Caenorhabditis elegans: one gene and its partners. The protein of the gene in region 4 purifies or fractionates together with the protein of the main gene of each other region. This does not show direct contact. Each region holds a gene or a part of one and is shown on either strand. Other genes may lie near its edges. The genes, in order: mig-10, chdp-1, wsp-1 and ced-10.

What was found.
Region 1: the proteins of ced-10 (region 4) and mig-10 purify together in Caenorhabditis elegans (affinity purification with western blotting, with the first as the bait; one study listed by BioGRID). This does not show direct contact.
Region 2: the proteins of ced-10 (region 4) and chdp-1 purify together in Caenorhabditis elegans (affinity purification with western blotting; one study listed by BioGRID). This does not show direct contact.
Region 3: the proteins of ced-10 (region 4) and wsp-1 purify together in Caenorhabditis elegans (affinity purification with western blotting, with the first as the bait; one study listed by BioGRID). This does not show direct contact.

The regions. Positions count from the first base shown.
Region 1 is NC_003281.10:8,277,539-8,282,133, reverse strand, and holds the start of mig-10 (Abnormal cell migration protein 10), read right to left. Parts: upstream 3,027-4,595; coding exon 2,953-3,026; intron 2,490-2,952; exon of another isoform or gene 2,398-2,489; intron 1,696-2,397; exon of another isoform or gene 1,559-1,695; intron 26-1,558; coding exon 1-25. UniProt on the Caenorhabditis elegans protein: Required cell non-autonomously for proper development of the excretory canals and for the long-range anterior-posterior migrations of embryonic neurons CAN, ALM and HSN.
Region 2 is NC_003279.8:6,282,993-6,289,845, reverse strand, and holds chdp-1 (Calponin homology domain-containing protein), read right to left. Parts: upstream 4,874-6,853; 5' UTR 4,839-4,873; coding exon 4,473-4,838; intron 4,159-4,472; exon of another isoform or gene 3,947-4,158; intron 3,499-3,946; exon of another isoform or gene 3,274-3,498; intron 3,183-3,273; coding exon 3,024-3,182; intron 2,811-3,023; coding exon 2,493-2,810; intron 2,420-2,492; coding exon 2,246-2,419; 3' UTR 2,079-2,245; intron 922-2,078; 3' UTR 508-921; downstream 1-507. Other genes in the region: C10G11.6 (Verprolin-like), read right to left, coding at 367-413.
Region 3 is NC_003282.8:8,188,375-8,195,168, reverse strand, and holds wsp-1 (CRIB domain-containing protein), read left to right. Parts: upstream 1-1,973; 5' UTR 1,974-2,016; coding exon 2,017-3,076; intron 3,077-3,651; coding exon 3,652-3,798; intron 3,799-4,035; coding exon 4,036-4,144; intron 4,145-4,192; coding exon 4,193-4,462; intron 4,463-4,915; coding exon 4,916-5,111; intron 5,112-5,159; coding exon 5,160-5,423; intron 5,424-5,468; coding exon 5,469-5,591; intron 5,592-5,646; coding exon 5,647-5,823; 3' UTR 5,824-6,265; downstream 6,266-6,794. Other genes in the region: pct-1 (Cyclin-dependent kinase 17), read right to left, coding at 6,734-6,794.
Region 4 is NC_003282.8:3,505,788-3,511,386, reverse strand, and holds ced-10 (Ras-related protein ced-10), read left to right. Parts: upstream 1-1,859; 5' UTR 1,860-1,893; coding exon 1,894-1,998; intron 1,999-2,278; exon of another isoform or gene 2,279-2,428; intron 2,429-2,786; coding exon 2,787-2,878; intron 2,879-3,145; coding exon 3,146-3,331; intron 3,332-3,815; coding exon 3,816-4,008; 3' UTR 4,009-5,059; downstream 5,060-5,599. Other genes in the region: tsg-101 (Tumor susceptibility gene 101 protein), read left to right, coding at 1-195, 783-913; srz-83 (Serpentine Receptor, class Z), read right to left, coding at 5,272-5,505, 5,554-5,599. UniProt on the Caenorhabditis elegans protein: Required in engulfing to control the phagocytosis of apoptotic cell corpses. Required in embryonic development for the correct positioning and orientation of the mitotic spindles and division planes in blastomere cells.

The DNA of each region.
Region 1 (4,595 bases), on a different chromosome or scaffold from region 4:
TAGAAGACTTGAGAGCAGGGAAATGCTGTAAAATGAATGGAATTTATTGGGAATGCTTTCATGTTTACATAAACGAGAATGCATTCTTTAAGTGGATCAATTTGAAAAATGGAACACATCAATGGAATTTAGAAATTTGTTGTGTTTCTCTTAGAAAGTAATTTTGTTAGAAACCTCTCCAAATGGGAAAAACTCAAATATCATAGTAAATCTTTTCAAAAAACTTGTCTGAATTTTTAATTCAAATTGTGTTGTGAAAACTTAGTTTGCACCTATCATAATTTCAAGTGTGGCAGATTTTTGTTTCTATGAGTTTTTATACTTTAATTGCCTTTTTTTTTATTTGCATATATTGCTCTATTTCAACATTCTGAGGACGAACCAATGCTCGAAATTACTTAGAATGCCCATATTTTTGGAACATTTCGTAAATTACCAAAACATTGAATGTAAGTTTTTTAAAAATTGAAAAAAGGGCTTTTCTGAATCAACTTCTCTATTTTGAATTCACATTTAAAATTGAAAGAATATTTCAAGTTTCTAGAATTGAAAAGTAGATGGCACTTCATAAGAAAAGAAAGAGGAACAGGGAACAATCTGCCAACATTTTTGATGAATTGCTCCCAAACAAAGAGTGAACGACAGCATTTTGATGGACAAAGAGAGAGTCAAAGGGGTCAAGAAAGTGAACATACTCTACCATGACAAGGCTGTTCTCTTCTGGTGATTCAAAACTGAAAGGTTTGAAGCAATTCGAAACTGACGGAAAGGACACGCTCCGGTAAAAACGATGAATGAACATCAGAAATGGAACACACATGGCAACAACACGGACCGATGAACACCTGGCTAGCCACGAGGATTTGCCGGATTTTCGAGGATTTTAGTTAGTTCATAAACAAATTGGGGTTTGGATGGTGTTAATTAGAAATTTTTTGATAGTTTTTTGTAGAGAGGGCTTGAAAACGTTATTGAAAATCCATGTGAGCTATATAAAGTTTTTTCAACTTTTTGATAGATGATTTTCTGGTTAATGTTTAATCTATGACTTGTATATTTTTGTTGTTTTTTCTATTTTTTCTATTTTTCACAGTACAAAATTATTTTTAAAAAATCTATTTAGAGATTCAGGAGAAATGATATCAATTTTGGCAAACTTTCATAACTTTTAGACGCCATTGCGAAATTTTACTAATGGTTATTGAAAAATAATCGTTTCGCGGACTTGAAGTTATGTAGCTCTTTCTTTCTTGTCATTCTTGAAAAAAATTCACCAATTTTCTCCGTTTTTCTTCCAACTTACTTAGTATCTTGGTTACCTTTTCCTAGACCTCCCCGACTTTCAAACTTAATTAGACCACACTTGCAACTATCTTTAAAAATTCAGAGAATTTCACTTTCATGGCCAAGAGCAGCAATAAAAGTCAGAAAAGTGAAAGAAAAGAGAAATAGAGTGCAACACAGAAACAAGAATGGACAAGAGAACGGACAACCCATTGTTTCAGAATGTCGTTCCTTTTCTCTGTGTCTCTTTTGAATTCATACACATGTTCCATGAAACATGCTCGCGCACAGATTGAAATGAACAGAAAGAGACGAGGAAGAGTGCGAATGATTTATTCATCAATGCTCTGGTATGTTCAGAGCTTTGCAACAAATGAAAAAGAGCACAAATGGAACATTTCTGAATAATATTGATTCGTAACTTAACTTTGCTTCATAACTTTAGAACATCTTGAAAAAATTGCACAAAAAAGAGTTTTGTCTGTCGTTTGGGAAGTAGAGTTGCGTTGTGGAGACATTATTTTTCCTAGGGCTGAGTAAGGCTGAGTAATCTAGTATCCTACCAAATAATTTAGATAATTTTTTAAAAAGGCTGCGGTTTCTTTGGAGAAATTACATGAAATAAAAAGTTCTGAACACTTCAACACACATTCAAAAGTTTTGTTACATTCCGATCTAAGCTATAAGTCATATTTTTGGAAAACCAACAAAAAATTCTGAACGAAAATCCAGTAGGTTTCAAGGAAAACCGTACAGCCAACAAGAAAAGATCATAGAAAATCACATCTGGATGGCCTTCCGTTCTATTTCTTTTGCCGGATTGTCACTAAATCATCTGCGAATGATAAATGACCGTAACCAAAGAAAACTAATCAAGTGTATAGAATACGGGAAATGAGGTCATTGGAAAAAAGGCCTAACTGGAAATTAGGCTGAAGCTACTGCTAATACTAGTGTTACGAAACACGACAAGAAAAAGTAATCAATTCAGAAGCATCGCCAATAAACCAACAAATAGAACATATAATCAAGTTATCTGAATGCACGAGATAGGCGTAAAGGACGTACGAACATGCCAGCTTAGAGATTATAGGAAATTGTGAGTCACAGACAAAAACGCAAGTTGAGATAGCAATCTTTTGCTCGATGAGGGTGAAGGTCCGGTCAACTGATGACCACTAAAGATAGACACAACATACTACCAAAGCTTTATAAAAACGAATAATTGGAAAAATAGGAAAATTTGTTAGCGATAAGAAAAATTTGAATTATCCAAATGTGAATGTAAAGATAGCCTGCCAAATTTGAAAAAAAAACGCATCTTTGTGAACATTTTACAAAACTACAATAAAGATGGTTTAGCTTTTGTCAAAACATACCAACAAAAAAAACACTATAATTTTCGAAACACTAAATGTTTTATGATTTTTGGAAAGTTTTATTTTTCCGTTCTTCAAACTATTCAGTGACTCGATTTTTTTCCAAACCTTTTTTCTATAAAATAAAAAACTTTACCCATTTTCCATTTAACATCTAAACGTTTCAAATTGGCTAAGATCAAACGGCAAACACTTGAAAAGTGTGCATAAGGTAATTACGAGAAACCATTTGGGAGTCAAGTGTTTACGGACCACTGACATTTCTTTGGTTACCACAATAAGAACTCACCACTTTTCACCAAAAAGTTGATCTTCTTCGTCACTGTCAACTTCCAGATCGCATTCCTCTTCGCAACTGTCCATATTGGCTGAAATTTTGGAATTCAATCTTGAATAAATGTAACAAAAAGAAAATGGATCTTCTGAGACACAAAGTTTACCGGAAATGTACATGTAGCTTTGTTTTAGAGTTGAAACTTGAGAAGTCGTATAAGAAAGAAGGAAAAAATTGGAAGGGAAAGGAAAACTTTAAGGGGTCAAAAACCTTTTTTAAAGAAAAAAAACTGAAAAAATTCGTCAAATCAAAAAATCTAGCATCAAAAATTGCTCGTTTTTCGACTTTTAGAAATATCCAAAGTATTTGCCCAAACTTGCGCAAATAATATTTGTATACTAAATTCTGAATATCTAGTTTTCAATCAGCAGGAAACAGACTTTTATTGAATTTTTTTCATAGATTTCTCTAGTTTATTGTCACAATAAATCCACTTTTTCTAGTCTTAAAAATATGTATTGTATGTAGAACAATCTTTTTATTCTCAAGTTAAAAAATTATGAACCCTTGCAATCTAGAAAAAATTCAAAACACGACTTGTCAAGCTAATCCAAATAAAACAATAACAAAAACAAAATTGAGATTTCCGCTCTCTAAATACCGTATTTTCCTATGTTTGAACCACACTACTCTACATTGACGGCTTATATTTCAGTGGTTTAAGCTCAACGAAAAACTGTTCAACTATACAAATATAGCAAATTATTTGACACCTACTTTTACAGTTTAAAATGTCTCAATAAAATATAAGAAGACCGAGATATTTATGAGTTGTTAAAGTAGAGCAAAGTGATGCAAGGCCAAATTTGAGTGTGTGGTCTAAAGTTTTTAAGACAGAAGGAAAACCCAATTGACCACTAAATAATCTACACCAAATTTTCTTCCGTCTCCTCGAAAAAACAACAACATCTGCATAAAAAAGTGATTGACCTTCCCTCTGTCGGGATCGTTGCTAACAAAGTGCAAAAGCGATGATACAAGTCAAGGGATACCCCCCTCCCCCGCACAACAACAAGAAAGAATAAAAAAGAAGGCGGGGACAGCAAAGAGGGACACATATATCTCTTCCGCGCGGAAAGAAAGCGGCAAAAACGTACTAATGCGCGAGAAAAGAAGCAGAAGAAGCATATAATGACCTTTTTATGATAAAGTCTCGTGGGACAACCGGACCATCAATATGGTATTGAGTATAGAATATGCAAATTTTGGTTGAATAGAAAAACGAAGAGAAAATGGAACAGAAGGAGAGTTCAGAGTGCGCAAATAATGGAAGGAACGCGCGTAATCTGGAAGAGTTGACATAAAAAATAAGAGGATTATTCATAATTGAGTCGCTCGGCACGATACGGTAAGGAAACTATAATGAAGAAGATTACAAGACAATCAAAACTAGAACTTTTAAAAAAGTTTTCAGAAAAACTTGGTAGCAGTAAGGTAGTTATAGGTAAGTAAGGTATAGAGCACATTCTGAAGTTGGAAATTTCAAGTTTTTTTTTTTTTGAAAAAAAAGTGAAGTTTCTGCTGAAACCATAGAAAACTATAGTTCAAATTTCCCGAAAATAATTACAGTTAGCGTCGCCAAGTTTAGCCAAGATAAA
Region 2 (6,853 bases), on a different chromosome or scaffold from region 4:
ACTATTTTTCATTTAACGAGAAATTGTCGTGCCGAGACCGAATACCGTGTTCTTGGCTCAAAAATCGCAAAATTTTGGGTCTACGATTAGAAACAATTGAAGGTCGCGACATGTAAAGCAATAATTTCAAAATTCTTTCGATTTTTGCGTATTTTATCTAAGATTTCTCGAGTTTTTTATGTCTTGAATTTAAACGTTAAGTTCTTAAAACAAAAAATATTTAATCTGATTCACAAAAAATTAGCGAAAGGAGGCTTGAAATATTTGAGATGCTTCAAAATTTCTATAAAACAACTGACAGTAAGATTACAATTCCTTGCGAAAAAAATTATTTTACTGTATTTAGAACTTTTTATAATTTCTTACCCTTCATGTCTCCATGATTCTTCTTTAATTGGTGTTGTTGAAAACATCTGAATATTTTAACTGTATTTAGAACTTTTTTAATTTAAAATAAATTTAGAACCAATGTTAACTCAAAAACAACATGCACAACGAAGAAGAATTGGTTGGTTCCATTATTTATTTCGAAAAATGAGAAAAAACTGAAGTTGAAAAAAGCGAGAGAATAGAGATTGAACTTTGGAAAAACAGGAAAAATCTCGAATCAATCAAGTGGAAAGGCTCATTTAATGAGCTTCACACTTTTGGAGGATGAAAAGCACAAAAAGAGAAAGCTGAGACAATAGTTATCAAAATACAAAAAAAGTTTGATGAATCGAGAGATTGGTGAAAAATAGACTTTTATAGATCAATTATCGATTATTAAAGTCTTATTAGGTGAGAAAATTGGTTGAAATGAAGAATGGTAAAACGATGAACAAAATTAGATTTTCTTTTAGAGAAAAGATTTTTTAAAAATTGATTGCTGCTGCCCGGCCGACATCGAAATGAAGATGATTGCTTTGATTGAAGATAGTGCTGAAATAATTAAATTTATTAGTTTTTTCTTGATATCCTCATTTCACAGATAATTGAATAATTGCATTCAACGGCACATTAAAAATAAGCGCAGAACCCCTTTCCGTTTCTCGTTAAATATCATCATCTGTCAATTGACCATTTTGGACCTTTTTTGTCAGCGAGCAGAAATTGATGACCAATTACTTCAAAAAAGGATATTTTCTGTGGCTGCTCGTGACTTTTTAGTATAAACAATTATATTCTCAAGGTCCTTCTCAGCTGCCCTTTTAGAATATAAACAGTTCAATCTACCACACCAGACACCCTACGAACCCCTCTCAACCACTTCTTCCGACTCAAATTACTTAGGATCGGTTGGTAAGGTTGACCTGTATGATGACGACAGGAAACAAGTCACGATGCAGTACGGACCATAGAAGAGACGGTAGACAATTTGAAAGGGTCACCGAGTCAAGGTCTTCTCGCTTTTTTTGTACAGGACTCGCCTCCGAAAATGTGAATGAGAGGTATAATCTGATCTACAGTCTCCAATTCCACGCCTATTTGGGATCCTCAAGCGAGAAGGAAACGGAAGACGAGAAATTTAAAAAAAAGTTTGGCGGAGGACAAATACATCATTCCAAGGATTCGGTAAAAAAAATCAATGTCCAAACTTTGATCCTATTGTTTTGTCTTCCGAGAGAATCTCAAGAAATTTACGCCTTTCAGTTAGAAATTTTCTAAAGAGTTTCTAGAACTAACTCAAGCGTTATAAAATTAAAATCAAGGTATGTCTACATAGAGAATGTTTGCACCTTTCTAATTATAGAAAGGCGGTCCTTTTGTGGTGCTCAGTGACCCATAATTGTCCATCGCTTCCTAATTATTGCCTCTCTCATTTGTACTATTTTCCCTCAATAGAGAAAATAGAAATGGGAGAGACTTGGCCCAGTTCCAAAAACAAAACCAACACTTGTCTTCTCATTAAGAGCACGCCGACCGATGGAATGTGAGCACACGCTTTGTAGAACGAGAAGTCCAATAGTACACTTTTCCACTTCCGCGCTACACTAAACGGTCCAAAACCGAGACCAAATAAGGACTCTTTATGCATATAAATCCGTTACTCAAACACACATCCCGCCAGACGGTCATCGTTTTTGTACTACACTTACTTTTGAGAGCACATTTCTTCTTTGAGCTATCATCATCGTTTCGAGGAAGAGACATTGAATATTTGGAATGAAGAGGCGGAGGAAACAGTTGAGATACCGGAACACGATAGTGGAAAAGAGAGATGCGGACTAGAAATTACAGAAAGATAAATACTTCTTCCAGATTTCTAATTTGCAGCGACGGCAGCCGGTGCACTAGTCTCTTGTTTCACTGCAACTGGCTCATCAGCGGTATCTGCAACTTCTCCGGTAGCTCCCTCTTCTTTTGCTTCTCCGGCTCCCTCCGCAGCTGCAGTCTCATCCTTTGGCTCTTCTACAGCAGCAGCAGCTTGCCGATTTCTCTGAAACAAGATAAATTAGCTATCAAAAATAAAAACAAAAGTTAATTGAAAATTAATCTAGAATATAACTCACTCTGAAGAATCCTAGGATTGTGGTCAACAATCCGCTCTTGACGACAGAGTTTGCAAGCTGAACAATGGTGTCAACATTGAATCCTTCCTTGTCAAACTTTTCCTTGGCCTGAACTCCGAGTTGCCAGAGAGTTTGGAAAACAGCTGTGTATCCAGCTTTTCCCTTTTCAAGAAGATCTTCGTTGGTTACTGGAGCAGCCTCGGTTCCAAGAGTCTTTTGAGCCCAAGCTCCGAAGGCATCAATGTTCTTCTTCTGAACTTCTTTCTGGGCTGCAGCATCGGCGTTTTCCTCAGCGGCAGCGACTTCAACTGCTCCTGGCTGTAAATTTTAATTTGTTTTCATGATTAAGATCCCTCACTTAATTAACTCATATAATAGATCTCAAAATATTTCCGAATTCCGATCAATGTCGGAACGGAAATACCGCTAATTGATAATGCACCTTCCGACCTATTTGCATATCACTTATCACATTTTATCATCATCATCATTACCCCATATATTCTTATCAGAAAAGTGAAATTAACATACCTCAAGAGCGTTGGCCAGCTTGGCGAGGACATCTCCATCTTTGAAGAATCCAATGAATTGGTTGCGAGTCGTGGCCTGATCTTTTCCCGGAATGGTCTTTCGCTCTCCTTCCTCTGGGATAGCTGTCTTCTGAACCCAGTCGATAACCTGGTAGTTGGCCTGAAAAATAAAACTTTAATGACCAAAATAAGAATCCGAAAAAAGAACGTTCCAATGTAATTTGTTTTCTCAGTGCAAAAAAGACGCAAATATCCAATACCAGTTCTTTCTGCTATAATCCCATGAGAGCACTCTCAATGTTGCAAGCCTCCATATAAGAGATCATTCTCATTCGTGCTGGACAAGAAAGACGGCAACCACTAAAACAGAAGTGCGTTTGCATCAGAATTAAGAAACAAAGAAAGGAGGAGCAGAGCAGCAGCGCGGTTCAACCAATGAGTTCCTTTTTTTTTGGGAAAGAAGATGCAAAAAGGACGAATTCATCTTGTGTACCAACAAAAAATGGCTGTCGAACTGAACCAGCAATTGTTCAGGATTAATGTCTAGGGAAATTGACCCAATTTTTTGTATAGCTTCTAAACTTTCTTCTCTCAAAATTCCTGCGAAATTCAGACTTTAAAAGAGATTTCATACATGCTAATCTTTGTGAATCTCATTGTATAAAACAGATGTTTCGAAATTATGATGAAATATAAATACTTTTCGTCATGTATTTTTGTTTCCGTTTCCATGGGGATTATTTTTGTGAGTATTCAAAATTTAAAGTCGAATCACACATCTTTTTATTTCTAATTCGTGTAAATATCCTGGTCACCAGACAACATCGATTTTATAACTTTTACGAACGTCTGTCAATTTCTAGGATATCTACAATATCTGCCTCTCATTATCCTAAAGAGTTACGCAATAGCGAATCCGGTGCGCGCGCACACACAGTTAGTTACATTACAACACCATTCTACGGGGTCTGCAGCAATACGAGCGTCGGAACGAGGAAAGATTGGCACAGCTGCCCTTTTACAGAGTGCCGACGCACATCGCCAATCTCGCCGGCGCGATCAAACAAAAAACCTTGCAAATACCAATGAGCGATACATTGCAAATGTTGATGAATAGACTTAATGAACTTGTGAAGGAGTAGGGGAAAATGCACTTGTTCCAAACTTTTTTGTGAGCTCAGGATCAAATTTCAGATAGGTTCTTGTTAGTTAAAAGTACTTATGCATCGTTTTGGCCAATTCCTAGAAATTTTTAGGCATTCCAATGAATTCACCTATGATTCTTAAAAAATCGAACTGCGGTAATTTGAATTCAAAGGTAACTGGTGAGAATGGGGGCTAATCGGAAACAGCTGTTATGCTAGGGTGAATACTAAACCTGCGTTTCGGTTGCTCTAGCGAGAATACCATCTGCCCTGAATCGTTTTAGTTATTTTGAAAGTATTCTTACCTTGTGAACAGCCTGTGGAATCTGTTGAGCAATCCATCCGAGAACGTCTTCCTTTGGATCCTTTGGTGCTTCTGGCTCTTTTGGAGTGGATGCTTCCGCATCACGGTGCTTTCCCCATCTCTTGTTGAAAGTGAAACGCCGAGCAACACCTCCAGACTTCTTTTTCTCTTCTGGAGCTGCAGCAGCAGCGGTGGCAGTTTCTCCTTCTGCAGCAGCTGGGGCAGCAATCTCAGCGACAGCTTCTTCTACTTTTGGTGCTTCTTCAGTAACTGGTGCTGGAACATCGACTGGTGGTTCGGTGGTTGGAACCTTTGGAGCCTTGTCTTGCTCGGCGACCTCCTCGATCTTCTTGATTTCCTCAGACATAGTTGATGTGTTGGTTAGTGACGAGAGAACTGAGACTGAAAGAAACTCATTAATTTTCGAGGTATTCGGAGAAACAAAGAGCTAAAAATGGAGAAAAAATACGAGAGAAATAGACGAGTTGGAGAGGAGAATAAGAAAAATGAGAAAATGGAATGGGGAAAAACAGAAGACTACCATGAAAGTCAACTCAATTACGGGGGTAATCGAATAGAGTCTCCAGTAGCGAGCCGCTAGTAAGCCGGGGTAGCACATTTTGGTAGGCAAAAGACAAAACCGGAATGAGCAAAAGCTTCTCTCTCGCTTGGACACTAATTGCACCCGTCTCTGTCGAGGACTCATTTTCTATTCTAGAACCGTCTCCAAGAATGGGGTTTTAGTGGATATAGATGAGAAGAACAAAAAAAGACGAAGAACTCAAGTGAGACAATGTAAAAAGAAAGAGAAGACGATGTTATAGTAGGGACAATAATGTAAGACTGATTGTGTGAAGAGACTAGATGGTACGCGGAACGCTGAACGCTGCGGGGGCTAGAACAGTCAATCGATGCTCAAATTGCGGGAAAAGGTCATGAAGAGAAAATGCGCGTTTAGGTTATGATTTAAAAAGAAGAACTAGTCATATGCGACTTGAATTGAATCGAAGAATAATGCTAACGAGATAAGAAGCGCTCACTTTTCCTGGAAAACATTCGTCTGGACGAAAAAAGGCAATAAATGTAGGAAGGTAGAGTACTAGAAGGCTTAAGAAAAGAAACCAAAAGAGCCTTTCACTATTCTGGAATAACCGGTTCTTACTCAGCAGGTGAGGTGGCGAAAAAGGGTCATTCAATCTCCTTTTTTCCTCTATTCACATTCATTTCATAACGACAATAAGTGTGTCAAAAAGACTATTCAGACGAGAGAAAGAGACGGTATGAGATGAGAGGCGAGGGTCCACTAACACCATTTACCTTTTTGAATGGTCTACCTCCGTGTCATTTGATATATCGAACCGCCGCCCGCCCCCTATTTGCTCTCGATTCTGATTCAGTCGTTGCTGTTCTCACCTACACTAAATTTAAAAATGAAGCAAATAGAAGTGAAATGAACAGAAGTCCGAACTTCAGAGCATGAGTCATTCATGATTTCGAAATGAGAAACATAGGAAACATAGATTACGAAATCGAGAAAAAGGCGGAGTCAAAAAGAGAACAAGAAATGTCCAGAAAAGACGAATGGAATGGATGTGGGCGACGAAATGAATGAATATGAGAGCAGGGGTATTGCACACATTTTGCAGTGAAAAAGAGGACAAGGCCAGTGGTCCAATCGTCAACCATTACCAGCACCATCACCACACCACCCAACCGCAATGATGCACACAGTGGCAGCAGCCACCGAAACGTCCCTTTCCATTGCGGCAGCAGCAGCGGCAAATGTGTCCCTCTCCCGTCTCTCATAGCGGACGGAAAATTTGGGCGGAGTCTACTGACTTGTGGGGCGGGTGTCCGCGCTGGATGGATGTTTGCGTGTGCTGCTTGAGTGATGAAATTGAAAACAGATAATTTTTGAAGGTTCACAATCGAATGTAACCATGACAACCAAAATTACTGGGTATTTGAGAGTTGAAAGCATTGCATCGAGTTCATACCAATAAAAAGGTTGAAGAATTATTTAGCGCTATTTTATCGGATGATAGAACGGAATTATCTAAAGCGGAAACAATTAGTACGGTAATAACTGATAAAAGCGGTGCAATGCTCAATGTTCATGGCGGTTAGGAAAACTGATAATGCTCTGATAATCATTATCATTTTACACTTCCCGAAAGGGCCTAGCAATAGATACTTTCTGCAGATACTGAAAACATGAAAAGGATTCTGATTTATTTTGTCGATTTTTGTGACTGATTGGAAAATGACACATTTATTGCGCTAGTCAGAAGCTTTTACGAATTTTCGTCAGTATCAGGTAAACAAAAGAAATTGTATTGGTCACCTGAAAGTACCGTCTGCTTGTTTTTGCTACGATTTCAC
Region 3 (6,794 bases), 4.7 Mb from region 4:
ATCTCGATCGTATTATTCTATTCTATTATTCTGGAGCGGTAATTTTTTGAAATGACCAATCCATTGAAATTAATACAAATTGTCATTTACTATAATAGATAATCGGAAAAAAAAGTTGAAATTGAAACTTATTAAAACGTACCTGATATCTCGGAATGGTCTTACTGTAGTCTACTGTATTCCTAACTTACAATACGATATGTCATTATGTGTCACTTGATTCGAAGTTATATTGCTTACAATCTATAAAATTCTATTTGAAAAAATAGAAATTTGTTCTGACCTATCATGAATCTCAGTTTTGTGTTCCTCTAAAGCATGAGCCACTTTCAATCGACGCATGTGAAAAGCGGGCCACTTGAAAGAGCAAGGAGTAGGACAAGACGAGTACAGGATTCAATGGAGATCTACGTGATCTTACCCGTGCCTTGTGCTCTACAATGTTCAATCTGAACAAAGAACGAGCACTGGTTCAATTATAAGGTTTTCATACTTTTTATTTTCTTCTCTTTTTTACAATAGTGCTTCAAGTCTCCATCTCTTCTTCTGCAGCAATCCTATGCGGTTGTATTATGTTCATGCATTAATTTTTGAGAAGTCGACACTTGAGAGGAAGTTATAATTAGGTTTTCGTATATAGTTTTGTATTTGGCGCAGGTTATTTTTGAAACATAGTATATCTTTAAAATCTGTTAACAGAACACAAGCAGATGTGAAAAAAGTGTAGAAATTATTTAATAATAAGTGAAACTGGCTGTTCCTTCCGTTTTCCGAATGTCATTATTGACGTCTAGAGGTGTAGCTGTTCCTACGTGTTGTTGTTAGCGGGTGTGACAGTAGTCAAACGATGATTGAATAATTTTTGTGTTGAAGTACACGCTTTCAAACAAAAAAGTAAAATCTTAGTTTTTTCAGTCTTACCGCTGTTTTAAATTTGAAGGATCACCCTTAAGAACGGTGTCTCGTTTACTATAAAAGTACTGTAAACTCAAGAAAAAAATTACGATACTTCTTACAAAGTATTTCTGGTAGCCACACATTGACACCTAAGTCACAAACTAATAGAAACATTATCTTATTATTTCTCAGTTTTTTAATGTTTAACTATATTGAGACTCTCTCCGTTAGAGGTTCAGGGCAGCACATACACACATACACATACTCATCGGTGTTGACTCCGCCTAACTCTCGTGAGAAGAGAAGTGCTTCAGTTCACCTCCCCACAGTTTTCGCCCCATCATTTCGGTCACTTTTACTATTCATTTCTTACATGGAAAATTTTTGGAATATGTAAAAAATATCATTTTTTGAATAGAAATAGATAGTTGTTAGGAATTCAATTAATATTTACATCTGTTTCCTCTGTCAATATGCACATCTCACTGCCGCCAAACTGTGGTAGTGTGTTGTGTAATTTGATTCCGAATCGAAACGATTGGGCGAGAGAGAAAATTAGAGGGAGAGAAGCCGAACGGTGTGAAGAGGCGAAACGGTATACAATAATGATGTGTATTATGACGGTTTTCATTTCGTTCTGTTTCTATGATTCTCTGAATATCCGTTCGAATCACTAAGTGCTTGTACGCCAATCAGAAAGTCATGGCAATTTAAAAGATTTAGAAATGCAAACGTTTTTTTTTCCAAATTCACTTTTCATCAGACTTCAGCAAGATTTTTTGAAGAATAGGATGTTACAAATTATGCTTGCGTAAATATGCAACATTTTTTGGAATGCCCATTTTCGAAGTCAACTAGAGGTATAATTTGGAACCCTTATATACATCTCTCCTTTCAATTGTTTCACACATCACTCGGATATCTCAAGTGAATTTGTTCCATTCCTTCATTTTATGACCTGAAAATTCCGATTCTCACAGCTTTCGATTCCATAAACGTCACCTTTCGACATTTCCCATATACTCTTTTTTCTCTCGCTTTCATCTCCATAATTTGCGACGATCTTTTTCGCCTTCTTTCAGAAGTATCAGAAGTAGTAGCCATTCGAAGAATAATAACATGTGGATGGTGGTAAGCGAGGATCCGGCCGGCCGCCTCCGCTATCAGTACCACAACCTGCCGGTCGCTCAATCGTTTCCTCCTCCTTCCCACCCTCCGCCACCGTCTGCGACAACCAATCCGTCGTCCAATAAACCGTCAACCGTTTCGTCGGCGGCTCAAATTTATTCGTCCTTTCCATCCTCCACTTCCTCTTCCGGTACTGGCGGTCATCTTCACCATAACCATATGCAACGTTTTGCACGTGGAGGATGCTCTAGCTTCCCTGATTCTATGGGATCCTCACCTCGTACTACCCATCGGAGTCATACTCTACCAAATGGAGGATATTATGAAATGGAACAATATGACAATGTAAATGATTATTCGACTTATGGAGGTCCTGATTCCACGTCAAGCTCAACAAGCTCATCTGCAGAATACCAAGATCCAGTATATTCAACAAGGTATGGAGGATCCACAGGTACATATGCAAGGCGTCAGAACTATGCAAGATGTTATGTTCCAATATCTGCTGATGCATTCTATTACTATCACAATCAACAAAAGCAACTACAACAGCAACATCATCAGCAGCAACAACAGCAGCTAGCATTCCGACCTCGTCATCGATCATCACATCATCATCAAGAACCTCGTCGACATAGAGCTCCGAGTCCTGATCCAGACTATTCACCCCCACTTTCTCGAAATAAGGTACGATTTCATATCCCAGAAGAACCAGTATCTCGTGGTGACTATGTGAGTTCTCGACACGTATTCAATACGGATGACTTCGGTGACGAAGACGACGATTATGAATCAGTATCGATGAATCCTGATCCTGCACCTCATTCTGATTCCGTATTAGTTCATCGATCAAATGGTCAAGTATCTGTTATGGTCACAAAGAAAGAAGAACCTATCTACTGTTCTGGAGGAAGTGATAGTAGTACAGAGAGTAGCAGTGCAACACCATCATCTGTAGAAGCAGATACTCCACCACCAATTCCATCTCATCCACCTGCAAGGCATCGATTAGTGAAGAAAAGTTCTAGTTCGACATCAATTTCGCTTAATGGTTTGTTTTACAGACTTTAAATATTCTGATGTCTGAATCTTCACCTCATCATTTTTACTCTTCTACAATAGTTTCTAAAACCTTTTAAAATCTCCCAAAAATTACACAGCTTGTGAAGCTTGAAAATTTAAAAACGAATTTAGTTTTTCGAAACTTCTAAAAGTATAGGAAGTGTCAACAAGTTGAACTCATGATGTGTATTTGCACTTTATCATAATATTTTTGTTTACTTGATCACTATCTTTCCATATTATCGTTTTTTCTTTGAGTTGATCAATTTGATAGACAGAATCTGGTTCTATAAGAGTTTTTCACACAAATTTGGAAAGCAAACATCCAACCCAGGATGGCGAGAAATTCGGACCGATTATTTGTGTTCATGTCATGTTATGAGCACCGCCGACCGAGTACTTGATCGGCTTCAAGCGCTCAGAGCACATGAACATCATTGTTGAGCAGAAATGCTGGAGAATAGAGAAAGATGATTTTTAACTGATTGGGTGATCGAATTGAAATGAAAAAGAACAGAGCACTTGACAGTGAGAACTTCTATATTTAATAATTTATTATTTCAGGAATCGGATCCACTCCAACACGACAATTCGAAATCACACAGGCTTATGGAGGAACAATTCGAGGACCTCCAATGGCAATTGGCGGAGGTCAAGGGATAACACAAATGGGAACTATGGCTGCTGCACCACAATCACATACACATACAGGTGAATATTTTTTTGGAAATTGAAAAATGATGTTCTCGTAGTCAGTAATTGAATTTCTGAATAAAATTACGTAAACTTAAAAAAAATCACATTTTATATCTCATTTCTTATGCATACTTTGCAAAATTTGCTCATATTTTAATGATTAATAAATTGAAAAGATTGTTACATAAATTTGGTGAGAAATCTCTTCAAAAAATAACATTAATTTTAATTAAATATTTTCAATATTTACAGATGGAAATGCTAGCAGTAGTGGATCATGGTTCCGGAAAGATAAAAACAAAAAGAAGGATAAAAAATCGAAAATTAAGAAAGAGGATATTTCTAATCCAACAAACTTTCAGTGAGATTTATTCCGTTTTAATGGTTTAAATTAAACTAAATATTTCAGACATAAAGCTCATGTTGGATGGAATCAGGATAGTGGATTCTCGAATACAGTTTACGACGATGATATGGATGAAGCTACTAAAAATATTCTAAAGGCTGCTGGATTGGAAAGCAATAATCTGAATGAGGATGATAAGAAATTCGTGAAAAAATTCATTGCCAAGAACTATGATAAATATGTATCTGTTGGAAGTTTGGATCCATCACAAATCTCATCACCTCTTCCACCACCAATTCAGCAACATCCACAGATGAATCAGTCATGGAATCAGTTAGTTTTTTTGTTTTCATTTCGGAAAAAAATAACTCCAAACCAGAAAAAATAAATTTAATTATGGTCCGACATCTACTGGGTTTCGCCCCTGTGAAGATACATGCATATGCGCTGTGTGAGTCGAAACCCGGTAGATGTCGGACCATGAAAAAGAGTAATGGCAACGCAATCCCAATTATTCTCCCCCGAAATGCTTTCGATGTAGTTTTTTTTCCGCAAACTTACAAAAAAAGTTAAAAGTAATATGTTTCTGTTACAGTTAACCCTTGAATATATTTTACGACTACTGTTTTTTGTAGCTGAGAACCAGAAATATTATGAAATATTTAATATAAATACTAGAAATATTAGAAATGAAATTAGTGTTGCATTTGGTGAGGGCGTATTTCAGCCATATTAGAAATACGATAACAAAAAAGTTTTATTTTTAAATGAAAAAAAAATTTTCAGAACACCAGTGCGTCAATACAAACCATCATTCCCATCATCTGCTCCGATTGGAAGCGGTGCTTCATCATATTCCACACCTGCCGCTCCTCCACCTCCAACACGTGTCGAATCTCATGGATTGGCTCCAGCTCGTCCACCTCCTCCACCACCGTCATCTGGTACCCGTGGAATTGCACCATCAAGACCTTTACCTCAAGTAAGTAACCGGAGAGTGATTTTCTGAAAAAAATTAATTTATATTCAGGCGCCCAACTATGGAACCCCAGAGAATCGACCACATGCGGTTCCACCACCTCCACCCCCTCCACCACCACAATCATTTGGAATGGCTCCGATATCATCCGCAGCTCCTCCACCACCACCTCCTCCACCACCGATGGGATTGCCAGCAGTAGGAGCAGGAGCTCCACCCCCTCCACCTCCACCACCACCTTCAGGAGCCGGAGGACCTGCATCGGTGCTCGCAAAACTACCACCTGCTCAGGATGGAAGATCGAATTTGCTAGCGGTTAGTATACTTTTAAAAATGTTCACTATTGAATTTTGTATTCAGGAAATCCAAGCTGGAAAACAACTTCGATCCGTTCAACAAACTGCAGATTCACCAAAATCGGCTGGTGGTGATGCTCGTGGAGATGTGATGGCCCAAATTCGACAAGGAGCACAATTAAAACATGTAAGACAATTTTTAACCGAAAATTACTATTGATTCCAATTTTTTTAAACTTTAGGTGGATGCAGCTGCTGAGCAAGAACGTCGAAAGAGTACGACTTCTGGAGCCGCTGGAATGGGAGGATTGGCTGGAGCACTAGCAAAGGCTCTTGAGGAACGTCGAATGAATATGGGAATAGATGATACTAGTGATGATGATGACGATGAAGATGACAAAAATGAATGGTCAGATTAGACTAAATTATCTCATTAAACTTGTTTTCCTTCCATTTTTCGTTTCCTTTTTCTGTGCAAATCCCGTGTGAAACAGGGTAATTTTAGTCCCTCAAGTACAATTCTTGATTTGAAAAATTACAGAATCGTCAATTTCCAAGATAAATTATCATACATTTTGAAAGTGACGAATTTGTAAAACTTGTGCATTTAGTTTTTTTTTTTCTCCAAATCAGTGCCTATTCCGTGTGAATTTCTCTTCGTAAGCCCCCTTCCACACACCCGAAATACCAACAAACTTTTAAAACTCAACCAGTCTTCTTGTTTTTCTCCCGTAGATTTTTCTGTGATGCTCCCCTCTCATCCAAAACCATTGTCCCTTTTTAGACTTACAGCAGAAACGCTCATAATTTTTTTGCATATTATCATTTTTCTGGGTATCCACATAAATAATTTTTGTTTCCAATTCGATGAGAAGTAGAAGCTTTCCGGGTAGAGCTTGTTTATTCACAGGTGTACAATAAGAATAACGGCTAAAATAAATAGCAAAAAAAATGGTTCTGTGTGCTTTTTGGGAACAAATTGAGATTATGAGATGATTTTTTGTAGATTTTTGTGTGATTTATGAACAGAAAATGTAAATTTGAAAATCGCTATTACTGGTTACGGGAAACAACGGGAAAAATTCTAAGAAGAATGATGGAGTCTCGGGATATGAAGAGAAAATATTACACAATAAATTATTAGGAAACATGTTTCATAAACATCTTGATCTATAAGTGACCGCATTGGAAGGACATTTTGGTTGGGAGGAAACGAATCGGAATTGGTTGACAAGAACCCGTAAAAGTGCAACACAATCTGAGATGAAATGGGGAAAAAAGAAACAAATTTAATTCTAAATATGTTTTTTTTTGTTGAGAAAATTATTTCTAAGTGTGATGACTCGAATGCATTCGATATTTATCTTTTACAAGAGTTCCACGATGATGA
Region 4 (5,599 bases):
AACGGAGCAGCCTTCAGACCGCCTGTGAAATCTATACGGCAAAGAAAGCAGAGCTCGCGAAAGCTCTTTCAGACGCTGGAGGCACTGATGCTCCACCAATTGATGAGGCAATTGATGCCGCTTTTCCGTTGCACCGACAAATTGTGCTCAATTATGCGAAAGATTTGACATGTGATGACGTCATTTATTCACTTGGTATGGAACGAAAAGTTGGGAAAAATTGGAAAAATCTAGCTGGAATTGCTCAATCCTGAGGAAAATGTGCAAAAATTGTTTTCAAAAAATGCAGAAGTTGAAAATTAAGAAAAACTAGTGAAAATGTTTCAAAAAAATTAAATTAAAGTTGAGATTTTTCGAAGTTTCTGAGAGATTTGAAGCCAAATTAAAAGCGTTTTTCTGAAATTTTTCAACGATTTCGTCTATTAGCACTACTACAAATCATTCAAAAACCCCCGAAAAAAAACAGAAATTAGTTAAAATTGACTTTAAATTCTAGAAAATTCACAAAAACTACAAAAAATTGGAAGTTTCTGAACAATTTTCAGCCATTTTTACTCCAAAATTTTGTTGAAATCGTTCAAAAATCAGTTTCGGTTTTATTTTAGCAAAAGTGTTTTTTTTTTGCGGAAATTTGATAGAAAAATTATTGAAAATGACTGAAAATTGGAATTTCAGCAAATTTTCGGTGTAAAAATTTTTCCGAAATCCAGCAAAAAAAAAAACGAAAAAAAATTATGGTATTTATGAGAAATTTTTTTTTTGCCTAATCTTCAAAATTTCAGGTCAATCACTGAAAAAACGCCAAATAACACTTGCCGAATACCTCCGCCATGTTCGTGACGTGTCCCGAGAGCAATTTATCTACCGAGCAACAATGCAGAAATGTCGACGAACTGCTGGTCTTCCTATTTAAAATTTAAATAAAATTTGGATTGAAAATCGTGGAAATTTTTGAGAAAAAATTGCTAATTTTTTGACCAAAACTGGAAAATCGTGAAAAATTGTCCATAAAAATGCTAAAAATTCGATAAAATTCTCGATTTTTGGATGAAAAATACTTTTTTCAATAAAAAGTGGGAATTTCAGCGATTTTCTGACGAAAAACTTAAAATTATTGCTGAGAAATCGAGAAAAATGCATTTTTTTAAAACGATTTTAGCTAAAAATTCCATATTTCATTTATTTTCCTGATGAAAAATTGTTTAACATCAAAATTTCGGTGCTTTTCCGTGATTTTTCAAGTTTTTTACATGTTTTTCCGTTAAAAATTCACTTAAATCTTCTAATTTCAGCCGAAAATTGTAAATTTCAATAATTCCCGTTAAAAATGATGGAGCTTCTATTGAAAATTACCTCGAAAAAAGCTTTCTTTTTTTGACGATTTTCCAGCCGAAACATGTAAATTACGACGAATTTCAGTGACTTTTTTGTCAAAAAAATTACGGTTTTCACTCATTTTTCCATCTTCTCATTTCAAAATTTCTCCCATTGCCGCCATTTTTCTCTAATACTCCCTTTCTCTCCGTCTTGATGCCCGTTGTGATTTGGTTTGTTCTCTCTCTCTCTCTCTTTTTTTCCGTTTTATAGACACAATTTTCTAGATTTTTCCCCATTTAAAATATCCAATTTTGCACCCATTTCCCCATTTTTCCCGGGGGAAAAGCTCGCTTTTCTCTCGAAATTCGATGACTTTTTCAGGTTTTTTGTTCATTTATTTTTTGTACAAAAATTTTAATTTAAATGTGATTTTTCCCCCCATTTTTTTCTGATTTTTTCGCTCAAAATACCGTGATTTTTGGCGGTTTTTCAATATTTTTGATAGATTTTTTTTGTTGCTATTTTTAAGCCAATTTTTCCAGCTTTTTGTGCTTGTGCTCGCGGAGCTCCCCACAAATGCAAGCGATCAAATGTGTCGTCGTTGGTGACGGAGCCGTCGGTAAAACGTGTCTCCTGATATCCTACACCACAAACGCATTTCCCGGAGAATATATTCCGACGGTGAGTCATTTTTAAAGCAAAAATTGAGATAAAATTACGTTTTTTGGCTCAGAAAATAGGACATTTTGACACAAAATCGAAAAAAAAAAACAAAGAAATTTAGGCAAAAAATATTCAAAATTGTTGTATTTTGATCCAAAAATCATTGAAATAAATATTTTTTTAGGCCAAAAACTGGGAAAAATAGTGAAATTATCAATACTGAAAATCGTGAACATTTTGATTTATAAAACATTTAAATAAAAAATAATTTAAATTAAATTTTTTTTGCTAAAAATCGTTTTAAAAAGTACATTTTTTTAATCAAAAAAATAAGTGAAATTTCACTGAAAAGTATGAAAATTAAAACTTCCGTTTTTTACGGAAAATCTAGACAAAAAACTTTTCAAAATGCGATAAAAAAGTTTTCTGCAAAAATCGTTTTAAGAAACACATTTTTAGCGAAATTTTGCTGAAAAATATGAAAATTGTCAACTTGTTCCCATAAAAATCAATAAATTAATATTTTTTATACCAAAAGCTGGGAAAATGGTGAAATTTCATATAAAAATTGGTATTTTTATTTGAAAAAAAAATGTCGAAAATTTCAAAAAACTTCAGTTTTTTTAAACGGAAAATCTAGAAAATTTTGATTCAAAAAACTTTTAAAAATGCAATAAAATTGTAGGCTTTTTGCAACAAAAAAATTGAAAATTTTGAAAAGCGCACAATTTCCCGCAAAAAATATGAAAGGTGTCTTCTTTTTCCCAAAAAAATGCTTTTTTCCCATAAATTCAAATTTTTTCCAGGTATTCGACAACTACTCAGCAAATGTGATGGTCGACGGTCGGCCGATAAATCTCGGGCTCTGGGATACAGCTGGACAGGAAGATTACGATCGGTACGGGCAGCGGGAAAACTGAAAATGCTCGAAAAAACTCAGGATTATGGGTTTTTTCAATAAAAAATTGCTCAGGATTATGTGATATTTTCCTCAATCAAAATGTGGAAAATATCACATTTTAGAAAATTTCATCCAATTTTTCATAAAATGACAGTGATTTTGAAGCTATTTTGTGGTGAAAAACTCGAAAAACATGGAATTTTTCGCACTTTGCACTAAAAATTACCCCAATTATCAATTTTTCAACACCAAAAAAATTTGCAGACTCCGACCACTGTCATATCCACAAACAGACGTGTTTCTCGTATGCTTTGCCCTGAACAATCCGGCGAGTTTTGAGAATGTTCGTGCGAAATGGTATCCAGAAGTGTCACATCATTGCCCGAATACGCCGATTATTTTGGTTGGAACGAAAGCTGATCTGCGTGAGGATCGAGATACTGTTGAACGGTAGATTTTTGGAGAATTTGAGAGAAAAATTGAGGAATAAAGTGAAAAATTTGTAGAAAATGATGAAAAATTGCCAAAAAATTCGAAAAAGCGCATAAAAATTCAGAAAATCACTTAAAAATTGAAGGAATACCGCCAAAACATTAGAAAAATCATTAGAAACGGCAAAAAAATGAGAAATAAGGAAAAAACGCATCAATTTCAGGAAAAAAAATTGCAAAAATTGTATGAAAAGTTGCGTAAAATAGCACAACATTCACATAAAATTTTGGAAAAAAATTTGCAAGATTTTGAGAAATTTGCTCAAAATGTTGAAAAAAAAATTAAAATTAAGATAAATCGCTAAAGAAATGTAAAAAGTTGCACTAAATTCGCATAAATTGTGGACAAAAGTTTGAAATTTTGAAAAAAAGCACATTAAACAAAATTGGCTTAAAATCGAGAAAACTTGCAAAAATTCCGAAAAAAAAAATTTTTTTTGCAGGCTCCGCGAACGCCGGCTCCAACCAGTGAGCCAAACCCAGGGCTACGTGATGGCAAAGGAAATCAAGGCTGTCAAGTATCTGGAGTGCTCGGCGCTCACGCAACGTGGTCTGAAACAAGTTTTCGATGAGGCGATCCGAGCCGTGCTCACGCCGCCACAAAGAGCCAAAAAGAGCAAGTGTACGGTGCTCTAAGATGGGGAAATTGGAGCAAACAATCGCAGAAACTACAACAATTTTAACTATATATATACATATATCATCTGGATTTTTTTTGTTTTATCGATGAATTTTGCTGTGAAATTACCGGTTTTTAGGGAGTAAAAATTGGCAAAAACTGAGCATTTTTAGGCAAAAAACTCGCCGATTTCCGTTCAAAGAAATGCTCCAAATCGGCTGAAAATTACTATTTTTTTTAACCGAAAATCGGCCAAATTTCCACTGAAAAAGCTCAATTTCAGCCGAAAATTTCTCGATTTTTTTCCAGAAAATTGTCCAAAATCTGGGCGTTTCCACTCTCTAAATCTGAATTTCCAGCACACTTTTTCTCATTTTCCCCCTCTATTTTTATCTCTAAAAATTTGTTTTGTATCAACGATTTTTCATCTTAAACTCGCTGTGATACTTTTCTTACTTATCCACCCCAATTTTCAGCATATTTTGTGCTCATTTTTGAGCCGAAAAATGCTCAATTTGTCCATTCATAATTTTGTGCTTTTCCCCTTTTCCCACCTGAAATAGGTCTTTTTTCATCTGAAAAATTGAATAACTTTTCCCCAAAAACCACAAGTGCTTTTTCCTCTCTAATTTTTATCGGTTTATTTTTTTTATTTGAAATTTCTTCGAAATTTTTGTGAAATTTCTTCGAAAAATCTGAAAATGTTTGGAAATCTCTACGATTTTTTCTAAAAAATGTTCAAACTTTTTGGAATTTGTTTGAAAAATTATTTGGAATTTTTCTGAAACTTTTTTTCAAAAACTTTCGATTTTTTTTTGTAATTTTTAGGACACAACGAACCCTCTCTCCACAACCAAAAATCCTCTTTTTTCTATTGTGAATTTGAACAACAAACTCGGCTCTTTTTCCCTTTTTTCTTACTTTAATTGTTAATTTCTCTTCTTTTTGTCCAACTTTTATTATGCTATTTTAATATGATGATATGATATTTTACCACACTTTTTTTCTATGATGGAATTTTAAATTTGAACATTTTTTGATGGAAAAATTGGAAAAAAAAACAATTCGAAAAGTTGCAGAGATTACAGATTTTTCTGAAACTTTCGATCAAAAATTTCAGATTCTGAGTTTTTTTACATTTGTTAATCGGACACAGAAATGAATGAAAAAAATCCTAAAAAATTTCCGAACTTTTGTTTTCTCGGTGGCCTAGAAAACCTAGATTTCTAGGAGTTTTCTAGTCCCCGGGCATTGGCCACCCAGCAAGCACGTGTGTGTGTTCATTGATCGTTAATGTGTGGGTTGACGCTGAAACTCTTGATCCCCAAAATCACTTTGATAAATCTTTTCAAACTGATTTTTTCCGATGAATCTCCAATCCATTTTCTGCTTCCCAAATACGGAACTTGAATAGTCAACGGAGTTATAAGAGTACTCACTAAGGTAGCGATTACCACAAAAGAGCACCCACAAGAACCATGTAACAACTGGATAGTGCTAAATATGATTGGGAACTGAAAACTGGTTCAAAAAATAAAATTGAATTACATCGAACTAAATACCGATTCAAATATTAGCGCAGTGACTGCCTGCCAGAAAATGTACTTT